Stegostoma tigrinum: one gene and its partner. The protein of the gene in region 1 interacts with the protein of each later gene in a pairwise test. Links are inferred from orthologs where the notes say so. Each region holds a gene or a part of one and is shown on either strand. Other genes may lie near its edges.

The links.
Region 2: the proteins of htt (region 1) and ing5a interact in binary tests that used the Homo sapiens proteins (3 or more experiments, as listed by UniProt). The link is inferred for Stegostoma tigrinum from reciprocal best matches to the Homo sapiens genes HTT and ING5.

Annotation. Positions count from the first base shown.
Region 1 is NC_081356.1:129,592,923-129,601,143, reverse strand, and holds the start of htt (huntingtin), read left to right. Parts: upstream 1-4,846; 5' UTR 4,847-5,077; coding exon 5,078-5,166; intron 5,167-8,221.
Region 2 is NC_081367.1:5,120,912-5,129,155, reverse strand, and holds the start of ing5a (inhibitor of growth protein 5a), read left to right. Parts: upstream 1-4,962; 5' UTR 4,963-5,024; coding exon 5,025-5,061; intron 5,062-8,244. UniProt on the Homo sapiens protein: Component of the HBO1 complex, which specifically mediates acetylation of histone H3 at 'Lys-14' (H3K14ac) and, to a lower extent, acetylation of histone H4. Component of the MOZ/MORF complex which has a histone H3 acetyltransferase activity.

The sequences.
Region 1 (8,221 bases):
AGGTGAGGATGGCTGATTTCCTTCCCTGAAGAACATTAGTGACGCAGATGGGTTTTTTTCCAACAATCGACAATGGTTTCATGGTTATCAGTAGATTGTTGATTCCAGACATATTGTTTTTTTTACTAAAATTCCACCATCTATTGTGGTGGGATTCAAACCATAATCTCCAGTACATTCACTGAATTTCTAGATTAATAGTCTAGCAATAATATCAATAGGCCATTGCCTTCCCCCAAATGGTGCATATCCTGCTATATCTTTTGATAACCTTCCACACGATCCAGATTTCCACCAATTTTTGTGTCATCTACAAATTTAATAATTAGACTAATTATATTTCATCCAAATCTATAGTACAAAAAGTATTGGTCACAGACCTCTAGTCAGAAGAACACTGCTCCATAACTACCCTTTACGTCCTATGGCCATGACAATTTATGAATGGATTCAATGGATGGAAGGCTGGTTTGTGTGATGGACTCGGATGTGTTCACAACTCTGGTCATTTCTTGTGGCCTTGGGCAGACCAGTTGCCATAGCAAGCTGTGATGCATCCATATAGGATGCTTTCTATTGTGCATCTATAAAAATTGGTAAGAGACATTGTGGACATGAGAATTTCCTTAGTCTTCTGAGGAAGTAGAGACGTTGGTGTGCTTTCTTGACTGTAGAATGGATCAGGACAGATTGTTGGTGATCATCACCCCTAGGGACTTGATGCTCTTGACCACCATCTCCACCTCAGTGCCACTGATACAGACAGGGGCATGTTCTCTACTCTGCTTCCTGAAGTCAATTACCAGCTCCTATATTTGGTTGACATTAACGGAGAGATTCTTGTCTTTACACTATGCCACTAGGCTCTCAATTTCTTTCCGGTACTCTGTCTCGTTGGTGTTTGAGATCCTACCTACTGTGATGTCATCAGCAACTTGTAAATGGAGTTAGAGCAGAACTTGGACACATGGCCATGAGTGTGTAAGGAGTACAGTAAGGGGCTGAGTATGTAGCCTTGTGGGTCACTGGCATTGAGGATTATCCTTACTGATTGCGGTCTATGGGTCAGGAAGTCAAGGATTGAGTTGTAGAAATGGGGAACAGAGCCCAAGTTCTTGGATTTTGAAGGTGAGTTTGATTAGAATAATGGTTTTGAAGGTAGAGGTATAGTCAATAAGTAGGAGTTTGATGTAGGTGTCCTTGTTATCCAGATGTTCCAGAAATGAGCATAGGACCAAAGAGACAGCAACTGCCGCGGAACAATTGTGACAATAAGAAATTTGTAGTGGATCAAGGCAATCTGGGAGGCTGAAGTTGATATGTGCCATGACTAACCTCTCAAAGCTCTTCATAATGATGGATGTCAGATTCATTGGGTGGTAGTCATTAAGGTACGCTGTCTGATTTTTCTTTTGCACCTGGATGATAGTGGTCTTCTTGAAGCAGGTGGGAAAATCAGATCAGTGAAAGGAGAGGTTACAGATGTCTGCAAGTACTCCCGCTAGCTGGTCTGCACAGGATCTGTGTGCGCAGATCCCTGTTTGCCTAAGTGTTTTACAAGACACCCAAGACTTATTGCTTCTTAATATTGACATCTCCAAGAATATCAATATATTCCTCCCTAATCTTATGTCTTACATGTCTTTCTCCTTGGTGAATATCAATGTAAAATACTCACTAAGGTCTCACCCAATTTCTCTGGCTCCATTTGTAAATTCCGTCCTTTGTGCTTGAGTGGAATAAATCTTTCCTTAGCTATCCTCTTCCTCTTAATATACATATAAAATGCCTTGGCGATTCTCCTCAATACTACTTGCCAAGAACATTTCATGGGTCCTCTCAATCCTCGCAATTCTTTAGGTTCTTTCCTGCTTCCTTTATATTCCTCAAGGGAATTGTCCAATTTCAGTTTCACAAAAGTTACATACTCTTTCTTCCTCTTCTTGAAAAATCTTTCATCATTTCTTGCCGTCATAGGGTTCCTGAATCTTACCATTCTTATCTTTCATCCTCATATGCTGATCCTATTCTCTGATCAACTAGTTCATAAAAGGGTCCCATACATCGGATGTGGATTTACTGTCAAAGAGCCACCCCCAAATCTAATTTCTCCAGCTTCTGCCTAATACTGTTGTAATTAGCCTTCTCACATTTTATTATGTTTATTTATTCACAATCTACTTTCATATTCTATATTTCTTCTCTACATCAAAGTCAAGTGATGGGGAGTAAATGACCTTGACAACTAGAATGAGAGGTCATAGTTTTAGGAGTAGCAGATTTATGACCAGAAGCAATAGGAACAGGAATAAGCTGTTCAGCCCCTTGAGCCTCCTCTGCTATTCAATCAGATCATGGCTGATCTGACATTCCTCACATCGGTTTCCTGCCTTTTCCCTGTAAACCCTACTGATCGAGAATCATAGGAACATAGGAATTAGGAGCAGGTGTAGGCAATTCAGCCCTTTGAGTCCACTCTGCCATTCATCATGATCATGGCTGTTTTTTCCTTGTCTCAACTCCATTCTCCTGCCTGCTCCCCATACACTTTATCCAACTTTCCATCAACATATCTATTTCCTTCTCAAGTCTATTGATTCTGCCTACACTCCATTCTGGGGCAATGAGTTCCACAGATTTGCAATCCTGGGAGAAGTAGTTTCTGCTCATCTCAGTTTTGAACCTACCTCCTCTCAGTTTATATCTATAAACTCTTGTTCGAGAATGCCCCACAGTGGGGATCATCTGTTCAACTTCCCTTTAGCATTTTATATCGTTCAAACAGATCCCTCTGATTCTTCTGAACTCCAGTAAGTACAAGCCCAAGCTGTACAAGTGCTGCTTGTATGACAGTCCATTCATCCATGGAATCAACCTGATGAATCTCTTCTGAGCTGCCTCTAGTGCACTACATTCCTTCATAAAGTAAGGAGACCAAAACTGGATATAACATTCAAGCTGAGGTCTCACCAAAGCCATATATAATTTTAACAGTACATTTTCAGTTCTTTAATCCAGTCCTTTTGCTATAAATGTCAGGATTCCATTTGCCTTTCTTAGTATATGCTGCATCTGCAGAGCCACTTTCTGCAATTCATGCACAAAAATGCCCACATCCCTCTGCACTGACACACTTTAAATGTGCTTCCCATTTAAATAATAATTTGGCCTTTTATTTTTCCTGCCAAAAATGGACAACCTCACACTTAATACACATTAAACCCCATCTACCAGATTCTGGCCCATTCTCCTAGCCTGTCAATATCCATCTATAAACTCTTTACCTCCTCGTCACAGGCTGCTTTCCCATGTATTTTAATGTTATCTGCGAGTTTTGCTATGTTACACTCTGTCCCTGCTGGCAGATCATTTATATAATAGTTGAGGACTGAGAGACCATTAGTTACAGTTTGCCATTTAGAGAAGGACTGATTTACCCCAAGCCTCTGATTTCAGTCAGTTAGCCAACTCTCTATCCAAGCCATTACTCTACCCTTAATTCCCTGGGTCAGTATTTTATGTGGAACCTTGTCAAACGCCTTCTGGAAGTCTATATATACACCACATCCACCAGATTCCCATGACTCGCCTTGCTGATTTGATTTCCCAGCAAGTTTGTCAAGCGTGGCTTGCCCTCATGAAATGATGCTGACATTGGTGAATTCAGGTTTGTTTCTCCAAGTGTTCAGTTCTCTCTTCCTTTATGATTGGCTCTGGTAACTTCTCCACTACAGAGATCAAGCTAACTGGTTATTACGATGTGGAGGTACTGGAGTTGGACTATGGTGTACAAAGTCATAAGTCACAGGGCACCAGGTTATAGGCCAACAGGGTTTATTTGAAAGTACAAGCTTTTGGAGTGCAGCTCCTTTGTCAAATGAAGTTGCTTAGTAAATTCACCTGGTGCTGTATGATTTATAACTGGTCATTGTACAACATTCAGCACCATTCCTGACTTCTCAGGTACTGAAGCAGTCCATGTCAAAACGCAAGCAAGGTCTTAGCAAGAACGAACTTGTATCTCACTGCTGACATTCCCTTTAGCTTAGTCACGAAATCATGTCAAACAAGGAGGTGGCCAATGGACTCTTGCTCACTATGGTCAGGTTCAACTGCCACATGGAAGGGAATGAACTTCCAGACAAATGGAAAGGTTCTTTAGCGGAGCCATCAACCAACTCCTAAGTTAGACCACGATGTCGTCAAGCCAAACTTCTGAATCTATATTTATTTTAAATAGACAACCTAAACAGCCAGCCTTCCCCTTCCTCGTTGGCTCGAACCTGGCCATTGATTGGTCAACACAACCATCACTCATCCCTTTCCCATCAGGCGGCGCCAGCCGTTAAATTCACATTTAGTCCCGCCTCCGGCTCGCCGTCATTACTCCAAATATAGATTGGCCAATTAATCCATCAATCACTGTCATTGTCCGTTCTTTACTGGTTAACCAATCCATCAATTAAACCGGTGACGATCTGTCCGGTCTTCAAACTCCCGGTACTTTCCGACCGTGGATTGGTTCGTCTGTCCATCAATGAATTGAAGGGCGTTCAAGCATCGTGTCCGCTGCCTCGGTTGGTCCAATGTCTCCCAGACACAAACGGTTTTCATTGGCCCAGTGGTCACAAATACCGATAGTCGATTGGTTAATATTTCAATCAACCAGCAGTCCGCGCGCGTGGGGATGACGTAAGGTTCGGCGCTCCAATTTGGACCTGCCCCACCCACTGTATTCCAATTGGTCCTTGGGGCCAAATGTCGATTGTCTATTGGTGAACGGGGCCGTCAGTCAATCGGTTGGAGGCGGGGTGGCTGGTGCCGTCAGGTTTGGTTGAAGGGGACTGGTTGTGGGCCATTACCCTTGGCAAGATGGCGGTGTTTGCCGGTTTTGGTGACTGTGACCAAGTCTGTTTTCGTGTATATTGCGGTTAGAAGCCTCTTAGCTGTCCATACGCTTTGACGTGGAGTAGACTGGTTTGGTGTGTTTGGTGCTCGAATTGACTTGGCAAGAAGTGCTTTTCCTGAGCGCTTCTCCTGCTCCGCTCCCATTATATTTTTCTCTCTGCCTAATAAAATGGCAACCATGGAGAAATTGATGAAGGCCTTCGAGTCACTAAAGTCATTCCAGCAGGGACCGTCCAGTGAGGAGCCGGGGCAGAAACCGTGAGTAAAACGATCCTGGTGAGAGAGGGCTGGGGATGGTTTGTAGGGGAGCTGCTGGTGAATCCCGCTGACATTCAAGTACTTACAGAGATCTACAAACAGCAAAACGCGTGCGCGCAAGGATTAAATAACTAACGCAAAATTTCACTGTGGGATGGATTCCAATGTACAAAAATCGCACCCTGACGTCTGGTGTGCATTGGCATTTCATGGTGTCCTTCTGTACACTGGCGTGTCAGAGTGTGATTATGTACCAAAACATGCCGTGGAACCCATAGAATTCCTCCAGGGTGAAAGGAGGCTATTTGTCCCCTTGAAACCGCACTGACCCATTGAAGAGCATCCCACCTAGAACCACCACCCCCCCGCCCCACCTCTACCCGGGCCCTGACGTCCTAGTGTACAAAAAAATGTGCTGGCACGCCAATATGTAAAATCGTATACTGATGTACCAATGTACAAAAACACATGCTGGTGTGCAAGCTTATAGCTTGCCATGCTGATGTAGAACAGTACTGATACACCCATGTATAATAAGTGAACACTGACTGTCTGACATACAAACCAGGTGTGTTGACATTGGTACCCAAGTGGCTGGAAATAAATGATAGACAACTTGTATACAATTACACTTGTGCACAAATCAGATATAGTTCCAGGCTAAGAAATCTGGGAGATGATCATTAGTCACTCCTTTTTATTGTCTTATTTCTGTATATATTGAAATGACTCCTGTTGCAGTGGTGCATGTGAGATGTTTCTGCTTTGCTGGATGGTTAGAGATGGGAAGGAATAACAAAAATAAACTGCAAATCTACAAGTGTGAAACAATACTGTAAGCACTTGCTGTGCCAATCAGCATGTGGGGCAAAAACAAATGAGGTAATGTTTGCTGAAGATCCTACACCTAAAGTGCTACTGTTTTTGATCTCCATATGCTGACTGACTTGCTGAATGTTCCTAGTTTTTGTTGTTACTTTCTAGTTTTCAACTTGTACAGTGTGTGTAAGTTATGGATGTATATCAGTTTCTTGTTTTCCCTGGGAATATATCAATATTTGTTGTAGAGGCAGACAATGATGTTGAAATGGCTTTGGATTTATTGGGCAATGCTGAGTTTTTGTTTACAATGACGTGAAAACTCAGGTTGTGGAACGTGGAGTGGTGGAAGGGATATCAATACGTGATGTTTCCTTGGTCTTTATCCATACACAACAGCATTGTTGTCATACTTCTCATAGAAACTCAGCAGGGAGATGGGGAAAGAATATTTTAACTGCCAGGATTTCCACTTGCCCAGCATGTTCAGTCACTTTTTGTGAATCCAGCTCTGTAGCACTTTTTGCACTTGGTGCAATTCTGAAGAGAGATATTGCATTTTGCTGTGCATGAATGAGTGAAGATAATGATAAAATTAGTGGAAGTTGGGTGGGGCAGGTAACATAAAAAGTGAAATTGACAAAACTAAGTGGAAGGTACATCGCCTGGTGAGCATGTTATCTTTTTATGTTTTTGATAAAGATCTGCATTTGATACTGGACCTTGGTGAAATCCTTGGATTTCTGTGCATTGACACTGAAATACTTGCTGATTGATCTGTGTAATATGAGACTCCAGGCCTTGTGTGCCTCTTTGCGATTTTTAAGATGCAGTCGAGCTATAACTATGATTGATTGTTTATTTCCACTTCTGCATTATTTAAAATGCAGACATCTTCCAAGGTAAATATTTTTCTGGAAGTGTAATTTCTGCTTTTGGAAGCGGAACTCAATGAATGTGCTGCAGTTCTAGAAAGTCAAGGATACCTGTTTGTATAGCATATTGGCAAATGGATGATATCCACGAGGACAGTGCCTCCTTGAAATACAAGACATCAAGTTCAGGTAATCCTGTGAGAAATATGTTGAATTGCCACCATTATCTCATGTCCAATATTTATTACAAACAGTATATTTTCTTGCTTAATTGGGAAATCACGAAACTAACAAGGGTTCTTTTGGGAAGTAAAGCTGCTATCTCTACTTGTACTGACCTACATGTGACTCAAGACCAACAGCAATGTTGTTGACTCCTAGCTGTCTTCTGAAATGACTTATTAAGTTAGTCACTTCAAAAACAGTTATGGATGGGCAGCAATTGCTGGGATCGTCAGCATTGCTCATATTTCTGGAAAGGATCAAAAGATATTGCTTTATTGCAAATTGGACTTTATTCTTTGCATATAACCACTGATGTTTGCCAGTGGTTGTTAAGCAGGTGACTGCGTGGGTTTGTTGTAACCTTAAAGATGTTAATGGTGTCTGACAAGAGCCTGGGCGTTCTCTATTGATCACTTTGCCATAGCAGAGTTTATATCTTTTTATATGGATGTTTATTTGCAAATCAGTAATAGGATTGAAAGATCCTTTGTAGCTTGGGCTGGAGGAAAGGCAAATTCTTGTAATCTCTAAATAGTCTCTCCGTGATTTTATATTCTTTTGTTGTCTGTGGTGGTGGAGATGACTTTTCACTTGTAAATTCTGATCAATCTTGGAGTCAGGAGCAAAGGGGAGCCAAAATGCTAAGTCAAACAGTTCTTGAATTGACTTTTAGCCAAGAATTTTCCTTTGAGTAGTTGTGTGGAGTGCTGAGTGGCAAAAAGGCATTCATAAACTCAAATCATCAAGCCTGTTCCATCAAAAATTCCTCCACCTGATGGTAACTCCCACCTCTGCACTATCTCGTGCCGCCTTATTGTGCACTTTATGGTTGCCTTTAGAAAATAAGGATGGAATTAATTTAATCACCTTTTAATATAGTTAATAAATTGTTACTCGGGCATAAACAGTGAAAACCCTGCTTACTTCACTGTAATGCAAAGTACCTTTACTGCTATCAACGGTACTTGCCATTTATACCCCTGGCCCTAATTGCTAGCTTAGTAATATGGTTTTCTGCACTTTTTATTCATAATGTCAGAAAAATGATTTGACAGTTAATGAATTGGCCTCGTGCAGTTTTTGAAACTAAGTGATAAAGTTGCAATTAAAAAATGTGAATTAATATGGAAAATGTA
Region 2 (8,244 bases), on another chromosome or scaffold:
CGGAAGTCTCAACTTGTTTGATGCCTTTCCAAATGCTCCTCCTCCACTTTGGTTGGTCTTGGGCCAGTGACTCCAGGTTTGTGTGGGAATGCCATACTTTGCCAGTGAGGTCTTGACATGCTTCCTCTGTTCACCTGGGGCTCATCTGCTGTATTGAAGCTGGTAGTACAGCACCAGCTTGGGGATTATTGTGGCTTTTAAGCGGACGACGTGCAATATTCCTGCAGCAGTCACAGTAAAGATCACATCTGTTGCCCCCACCATGGCCAAAAGCCACACTGCAATTCTAGGAGGTGTCCTCAGGCACAGGGAAGAAATGATTGAGGAGGTCCTTGGCAATGAATTTTCCAACCGTTGACAACAGGGAGACTCTCCTGTAGTTACCACAGTCAGACATGTTTCGTTTTTTGAAAATGCTCACAACTGTGGCAACTTGGAGCTCTCCTGAATGGTCTCTTTTCCTCCCCATACAACAGCATCACTGCAACAGCCTCAGTACTCAACACCAACAACTGCCAATTTTCAGATGCCATCCTATAACTCATCCGCTTCATCCTTGATCTCAACATCTTGACCTTTGACAACCAACTCTTCATCGAGAACACGGAACAACCATAGGGACAAAGTTTGTGCCCCAATATGCCAACATTATCATGCACAAGTTTGAGCAAGATTTTTTCCCTGCACACGACCTCCAACCAACACCATACCTCAGATACATCGATGACATATTCTTCCTTTGGATTCATGGTGAGGAATCACTGGAATGATGCAGAAAGGTATCAACAAGTTTCATCCCACCATCAGACTTACCATTGTCTACCCTTAAAAATCAGTCTCATTCTTGGACACACACATTTCTATCAAGGACAGACACCTCAGTACCTCACTCTACCACAAACCCATGGATAACCTCATGATGCTGCATTTTCCTAGCTTCCACTCTAAACATGGTAAAGAAGCCACCCACTATGGACTAGCTCTGTGTATACACAGGGTCTGCTCAGACAAGGAGGAATACGACAGACACCTAAAGATGCTGAAAGATGCCCTCCTAAAAACAGGATATGATGCTCAATGCATTGATCGGCAGTTCCAATATGCTACAATGAAAAACCGCAAAGACCCCCTCAGAAGACAGACACTGGATGCAAATGATAGAGTACCCTTTGTCATCCAGTACTTCCCCAGTGTAGAAACTATACCATGTTCTTCTCAGCCTTCAACATGTCATCAATGGCAACGAACATCTAACCAAGATCATCCCTAGGCCTCCATTTCTCGCCTTCAAACAACCACCAAACCTTAAACAGGCCATCATTTGCAGCAAACTACCCAGCCTTCAGGACAACATTGACTATAATGCCACATAATGATTCATTTTGGAAGGACAAACTTGAAAGCAGAATTTGGGTTAACGGAAAGATTGTTGGCAGTGTGGAGGAACAGAGGGATCTTAGGGTTCATGTTCACAGTTCCCTGAAAGCTGTCACCCAGGTGGATAGAGCTGCTAAGAAGGCGTATGGTGTGTTAGCTTTCATTAATAGAGGGATCGAGTTAAAGAGCCGTGGACTTACGCTCCAGTTATACAAAAGCCTGGTTCGGCCACATCTGCTCTACACCTTGTTATGTGGAGTATTGTGTCCAGTTCTCGTCGTCTCATTACAGAAAAGACATGGAGGCATTGGAAAAGGTGCAGAGGAGATTTACCAGCATGTTGCCTGGAACGGAGGGAAGGTCTTACGAGGAAAGGCTGAGAGAGCTAGGGCTTTTCTCTTTAGAACGACAAAGGATGAGAGGCGACTTGATAGAGGTGTACAAAATGATCAGAGGTATAGATAGAGTGGACAGTCTGAGACTTTTCCTAGGGTGGAGATAGCTATTCTGAGGGAATATAGTTTTAAAGTGACTGGAGGTAGATAAGGGGAGTTGTCAGAGGTAGGTTGTTTACTCAGACAGCGGTAGGGGCGTGGAATGCATTGCCGGAGAGAGTAGTGGAGTCAGCCTCATTAGGGGCATTTAAGCAGCTATTAAATAGGCATATGGATGATAGTATAAGGTAGGGGAGGAGGTTAGATAGACTTTAGGATTAGGGTAAAAGTTCAGCACAACATCGTGGGCCAAAGGGCCTGTAGTGTGCTGTACTGTTCTATGTTCTATTACAACCCTGTTATGGCAACCTCTGCAAGACATACCAGATCAATGATATGGTCACTACCATCACACATGGGAAAACCACCCACGATGTATATGGCAGATACACATGTGACTTGGCCAATGTTGTCTATCTCATACACTGCATACAAAGATTCAACGAGACATGGTATATTGGCAAGACCGTGCAGATGCTACGACAACAAATGAATGGACATCGTGCAACAGTCGCCATTTAGGAATGTTTCCTCCCAGTCAGGGAACACTTCCACGGTCAAGAACATTCAGCCTCAGATTTTCGAGTAAGCATGCTCCAAGATGACCTTCACGATACACAATAACACAGAATCACCGAGCAGAAACTGACAGCCAAATTCTGCATCCATAAATATGGCATCAACCGTGATCTTGGGTTCATGTCATGTTGCCTGTGACCCCACCATAGTGTTCTATACCTGTAAAATCTTCCTTTCTGTCCTGTTTTGACACCATCACCTTGATAACTTGTTATGATCTCTGTACCTTAATTAGTTTGTACAGTTTTGGTTTACTTGTTACTTTGATTAGACTTTCGGCATGTGACTCCTTTACCTATCATATTATTCCACCCATTAGGTTTGTTTCCAGCACCAACTTTTTTTCAATTTTTGTAACTATCTTTATGCCTCAATTAATCAGATTATAGGTCATCCTTTCACTTGCTATCAAAGCTTCTGACACTTCCGATCACCTGCAGAGACTTACTTTTCAGTATGTCGATACTGCATTCACACCATGCGCAGTTTGATCTCTCTGCCTCTCTTCACTTTCTCTCAAAGGGGCAATGCTCCCAAAGCTTGTGATTTCAAATAAACCTGTTGGACTATAACAAAAAGTGTGGAGCTGTATGAACACAGCAGGCCAAGCAGTATCTTAGGAGCACAAAAGCTGACGTTTCGGGCCTAGACCCTTCATCAGAAACTTTCTGATGAAGGGTCTAGGCCCGAAACGTCAGCTTTTGCGCTCCTAAGATGCCGCTTGGCCTGCTGTGCTCATCCAGCTCCACACATTGTTATCTTGGATTCTCCAGCAGTTCCCATTATCGCTGTTGGACTATAACCTGGTATCATGTGACTTCTAGCCTTGTCTACCCCAGTCCATCACCAATGACAGACAATCTGTCCACTATCCCTTGACCTGGATGTGAGATTGCTCGCTGAGCTGGAAGGTTAGTTTTCAGAAGTTTCGTCACCATGTCATTTCCTGCCATCACCAACCCAAGGGAACCTAAACAGATAAATAGAAAGTGGGACATAACACCAGCGCTTCATCGGAGGCTCATTGATGATGTTACCTAGAATAGTGACGAAACGTCTGAAAACTAACCTTCCAGCTCAGCGAGCAATCTCACATCCAGAACCTCAACCTGAGCTACAAATCTTCTCAAAACTCGCTAACTATCCCTTGACATTCAAAGGTGTCACCATCACTGAATCCCCCACTATTAACATCCTGGGTGTGTTATCATTGACCAGAAACTCAACCAGACTCTTCACATTAACAGAGTGGCTACAAGATCAGGACAGAAGCTAGGAACACTGCGGCGAGTAACTCACCTCCTGACTCCTCAAAGCCTATCCGCTACTTCGAGGCACAAGTCAGGGTGTGATGGGAATGCGCCTCACTTGCCTGGATGAGTGCAGCCCCAACAACACTCAAGAAGCTTGACACCATCCAGGACAAAGCAGTCCACTACATCCACAAGTATCCACTCCCTCCACCACTGTCACTGAGTAGCAGCAATATATACTGTCAACTAGATGCACTGCAGAAATTCACCAAAGATCCTCAGACAGCACCTTCCAAACCCATGACCACTTCTACTTAGAAGGACAAAGGCAGCAGATATATGGGAATTGCACCACCAAGTTTCCCTCCAAGTCATCCACCATCCTGACTTGGAAATATATCACAGTTCCTTCACTGTTGCTGGGTCAAAAATCATGGGATTCCCTCCCTAATAGCATTGTGGGCCAACCCACAGCAGAAGGACTACAGTGGTTCAAGAAGGCAGCTCACCACCTACTTCTCAAGGGCAACTAGGGATGGGCAAGAAATGCTGGCCAACCAGCAACTCCCACATCCCAGAAAAGAATAGAAATGTAATAGCTTATATGTTACTGCTCCCAGAATTCCTGGAAATCAGTTCCAACGCTGAAAATTCTTCAAAAAAAAAGACCAGCTCTTATAGTCACAATTTTTTTCCTGTCTTGCATTACCCAGAATCATTTTTCTTAAACCTTTGCTGAGTCACTTCATCCTTAGCCAGCATGGGGATGGGGGCGTTGGTTTGGTCCATTAGTGGTCTTGACAGCACGGAAGAAACCCTAAACATCATGCCTGTCGTCCACTGGTTGGGCCTTCAGTGCTTTCTCTACCCACCACCTGTTCTGTATGTTGCAAGTTAATGGTTGGACCTCAGCCTTCAGTTGCCTTGTTGGCCTGTCTTTTCTCTTGAGTACTGTTGTTTTAAACTCAGAAACGCTTCCAGCTAAATAGTCCTGGATCTACTGTTCACTCCCATCAAACTTTCTGGCTGAATGTCCAACAGAGATTTTGCTGGCATCGATGAATGCGGCCTGAAGGGCAGACCAGCTATTCCACTTCGTAATCGTGTACTGTGTTTAAGAGGTTTGGGAAGCTGGGTAGCCACATAAACAGTTTCATTTGGTAGGACCCTGACTCCTCCAACCAGTTGCAAATCTCTAGTCCGCTCCAATTTGAAGACCAGTTCAGTCCTGCCTTGAAATTGGGTTTGGCGGTTGTCATGGCGACGTGCCGGCAGCGCGCATGCTCAGTGCGGGGCAGGCCGGTAGGGAAAGGATGACAAGATGGCGACCGCGATGTACCTGGAGCACTACCTGGACAGTGAGTACTGGGGCGGCCAGCGGAGTAGGACTCCCCCCACCCCCACCAGTTGCTGTTCTTCCCGAGGAGGGGGCCGCTTCGCCCGGGGAAGGGCGGAGAGAGAGTACAGCCCCGGGCCTGTATTCTCGGCGCCTAGGGGCCCAGCTCCTCTTGAGGTGGTTGTGAGAGCCTGCGAAGCCCGGGCTGGGAGTAGCCAGCATGGGGCCTAAGGCTGGTTTCCTGTGAGTTTGTGACGGCGTACTCCCTCACCACGCACGCGCGCCGGATTCGTGATTTTCCCGCCTCCGTTTCCTTGCAAATATGTAAACAAGTGCGAGTGTGCTACAGAGATTGCAAGAACTGCAGATGTTGGAGCCAGAGATAACACATTGTGGAGCTGGAGGCAGTATCAGAGGAACAGGAAAGTTTACGTTTCGGGTCAGGGCCCTCCTTCAGAAAAGGGGAAGGGGGAAAGGAGCTCAGAAGTAAATAGAGTAGGGTTGGGGCTAGTGAAGATAGGTGGGATGGTGATAAGGATCTGATGTACAGTGTGGGGCAATGGGCAGGGATCTGATATATGGCATGGGGCAATGGAGTGGTGCAGTTTGGAGGCAATTGGTAGTTATCTGATAACCCACACCCACATGAGGTATGTGACAGTGTGAGGTAAGAGCTGTTGCACTATAAAGGCATGGATAAGAGACAGTGATCTCAACAGGGTGAAGGTGGCTTAGCTGATTGGCCATGCCTACTTTGACTGGGGAAATGAAACTGAACCTGTTGAAGTGTATAAAAGGCAGCAGGGGTGTTTAAATGAAAGCAGAAGTTGCTGAAAAAGCTCAGCAGGCTCTGGCAGTATCTGTGAAGAAAAAAATCGGAGTTAATGTTTTGACTCCAGTGACTTTTCTTTAGAATGGATGCTAGCTGAGAAAATGTTGGCTTATGTGCAGAAAATAGGGAGGGATGGGGTAGGGAGTAAACAATAGGAGTTTTTTTCTCTCTATTCATTAACGGGATGAGGATGTTGCTGGCTAGGCAGCATTTATTGTCCATCACTAACTGCCCAGAGGGCAGTTCAGAGTCAACCAGATTGCTGTGGATCTGGAATCACACATAGGCCAGACCAGGTAAGGACGGCAGTTTCCTTCCCTAAAGGACATTAGTGAACCAGGTGTGTTTTTCTGACAATTGTCGGCGGATTCGTGGTCATTGTCAAATTCTTAATTCCAGATATTTTATTGAATTCAAATTCCACCATTGAATCTGGGACCTAGAATATTGTCAGGGTCTCTGGATTAACAATCCAGCAGTAATACCACTAGGCCGTTGCCTCCCTTTGATGGAGCCCGAAGACAGACAGAGAGAGAGAGAGAGAGAGAAGAGCAGTTGGACAGACAAAGGAGTTGATAATGACCTGGCTAGGAGGGTGAATAGTTGTTAATGGGGACTTAGTAATTAACAATAGGTAGTGTGTAATGGCAGGTTATGTGAAAACAAGGTCTGGTGTGTGGGGTAGGGGGCTAGGACATGAGAGAGTTAGGCCCTCTAAAATTATTGAACTCTATACAGGGTTTAGAGGGCTGCAAGGTCCCCAAATGGAAAATGAGGTGTTGAGCATCGCTGGAACACTGCAGCAAGCCAGAGACAGATGTTGGCTAGTGAACAGGGTGGTATGTTGAGATGGCAGGTAACTGGAAGCTCATAGTCTTTCATGAGCAGAATGTAGATGTTCTGTGAAGCGGTCACCCAGTCTATGCTTTGTTTCCCCAGTGTAGAGGAGACCACGTTGTGAGCGGCAAATGCAGTAGGCTAGATTCTGGGAAGTGCACCTGGAAGGTTTGTTTGGGGCCTTGGATAGTGGGCAGGGAAGAGGTAAACGTGCAAGTGTTGCACCTGCACAGGTTGCAGAGGAAGGTGCTGTGGCGCTGTTGCAGGGTGGGGGGCGGTGGGTGTTGGGGGGGCAGACAAGGGATGTGAGCGAGGGGGATATCCATCTGGTGGTGGCAGAAATATTCTGTGATGATCTTCTAGATGTGGATGCTGGTGGGATGGCAGGTGAAAACGAGGAGAACTGTATCATGGCCGGGAAGAGAGGGGGTGAGGGTGAGTGTCTGAGATGTGATAGACCTGGTTGAGGGCCCTGTACAACGGTGCTGGCGAATCCTCAGTTGAGCAAGAAGGTGGACATTTTGGAGGCTCCCTTGTCAAAGTTGGCCTCATCTGAACATATGCAACGGAGGAACTGAGAGAATGGGATGGGAGTCTTGCCAGTAAATTCCTAGAAATGGAAACAGATGTCGAAGAGGGAAAGGGAGGAATCACAGACACACCAGGTGAAAGTGAGGACAGGGTCAGAATTGGAAGCGAAATCATGAACTTTTCCAATACTGGACGAGAGAGTGAAGCAACAATGATGATATCATCAATGTATCAGGGAAGAAGCTGTGGGTGAGGGCCAGGATAGTAATGGACAATGAAATGTTCCACGTGTGCCATGAAGAGACTAGCATAACTGGGGCCCATGTGGATACCCATGGCCACCCCTCTGACCTGAAGAAAATGAGAGGAGTTGAAAGAGAAGTTGTTGAAGGTGAGGATGAACTCAGTCAAGCGGTGGAGGGTTGTGGTGGGTGGGGACAGTTAAAGTCTGTAAGAAGCAAGGAGCCCTAAGACCCTCCTGGTAGGGGAATGGACATGTAAAGGGATTGCATGTCCATGGTGAAGAGGAGGCAACTGGAGCCTGCACACTGGAAATTTTGAAACCTGCATAAAGCATCAGAAATCATGGATGTACTTGGGCAGGGATTGGACTGGGGATAGAAGACTGAGTCAAGGTAGGAAGAGAGGAGTTCTGTGGGGCAGGAGCAGGCTGAAACAATGATTCTGCCTGGACACTCCTGAATGTGGATTTATGGAAGGAGCTGTACGGAACTGGGGGACTATCAGCTTGGAGCCTGTCCAGGGGAGGTCACAAGATGAAGTGAGATCAGTGACTGTACTTGATACAATGGCCTGATGTATCATGGTGGGATCATGGTCTTGGAGAATATAAGAAGTATCTACAGGCTGGTGCTGAGCCTCTGCAATGTAGAGGTGAGTATGCCAGACTACCACAGCACCACCATTCTCAGCAGGCTTAATAACAAAGCCAGGGTTGGATCTAAGCGCACAGAGTGCGGTTGGTTTTATTAGTGTTTAAATGTG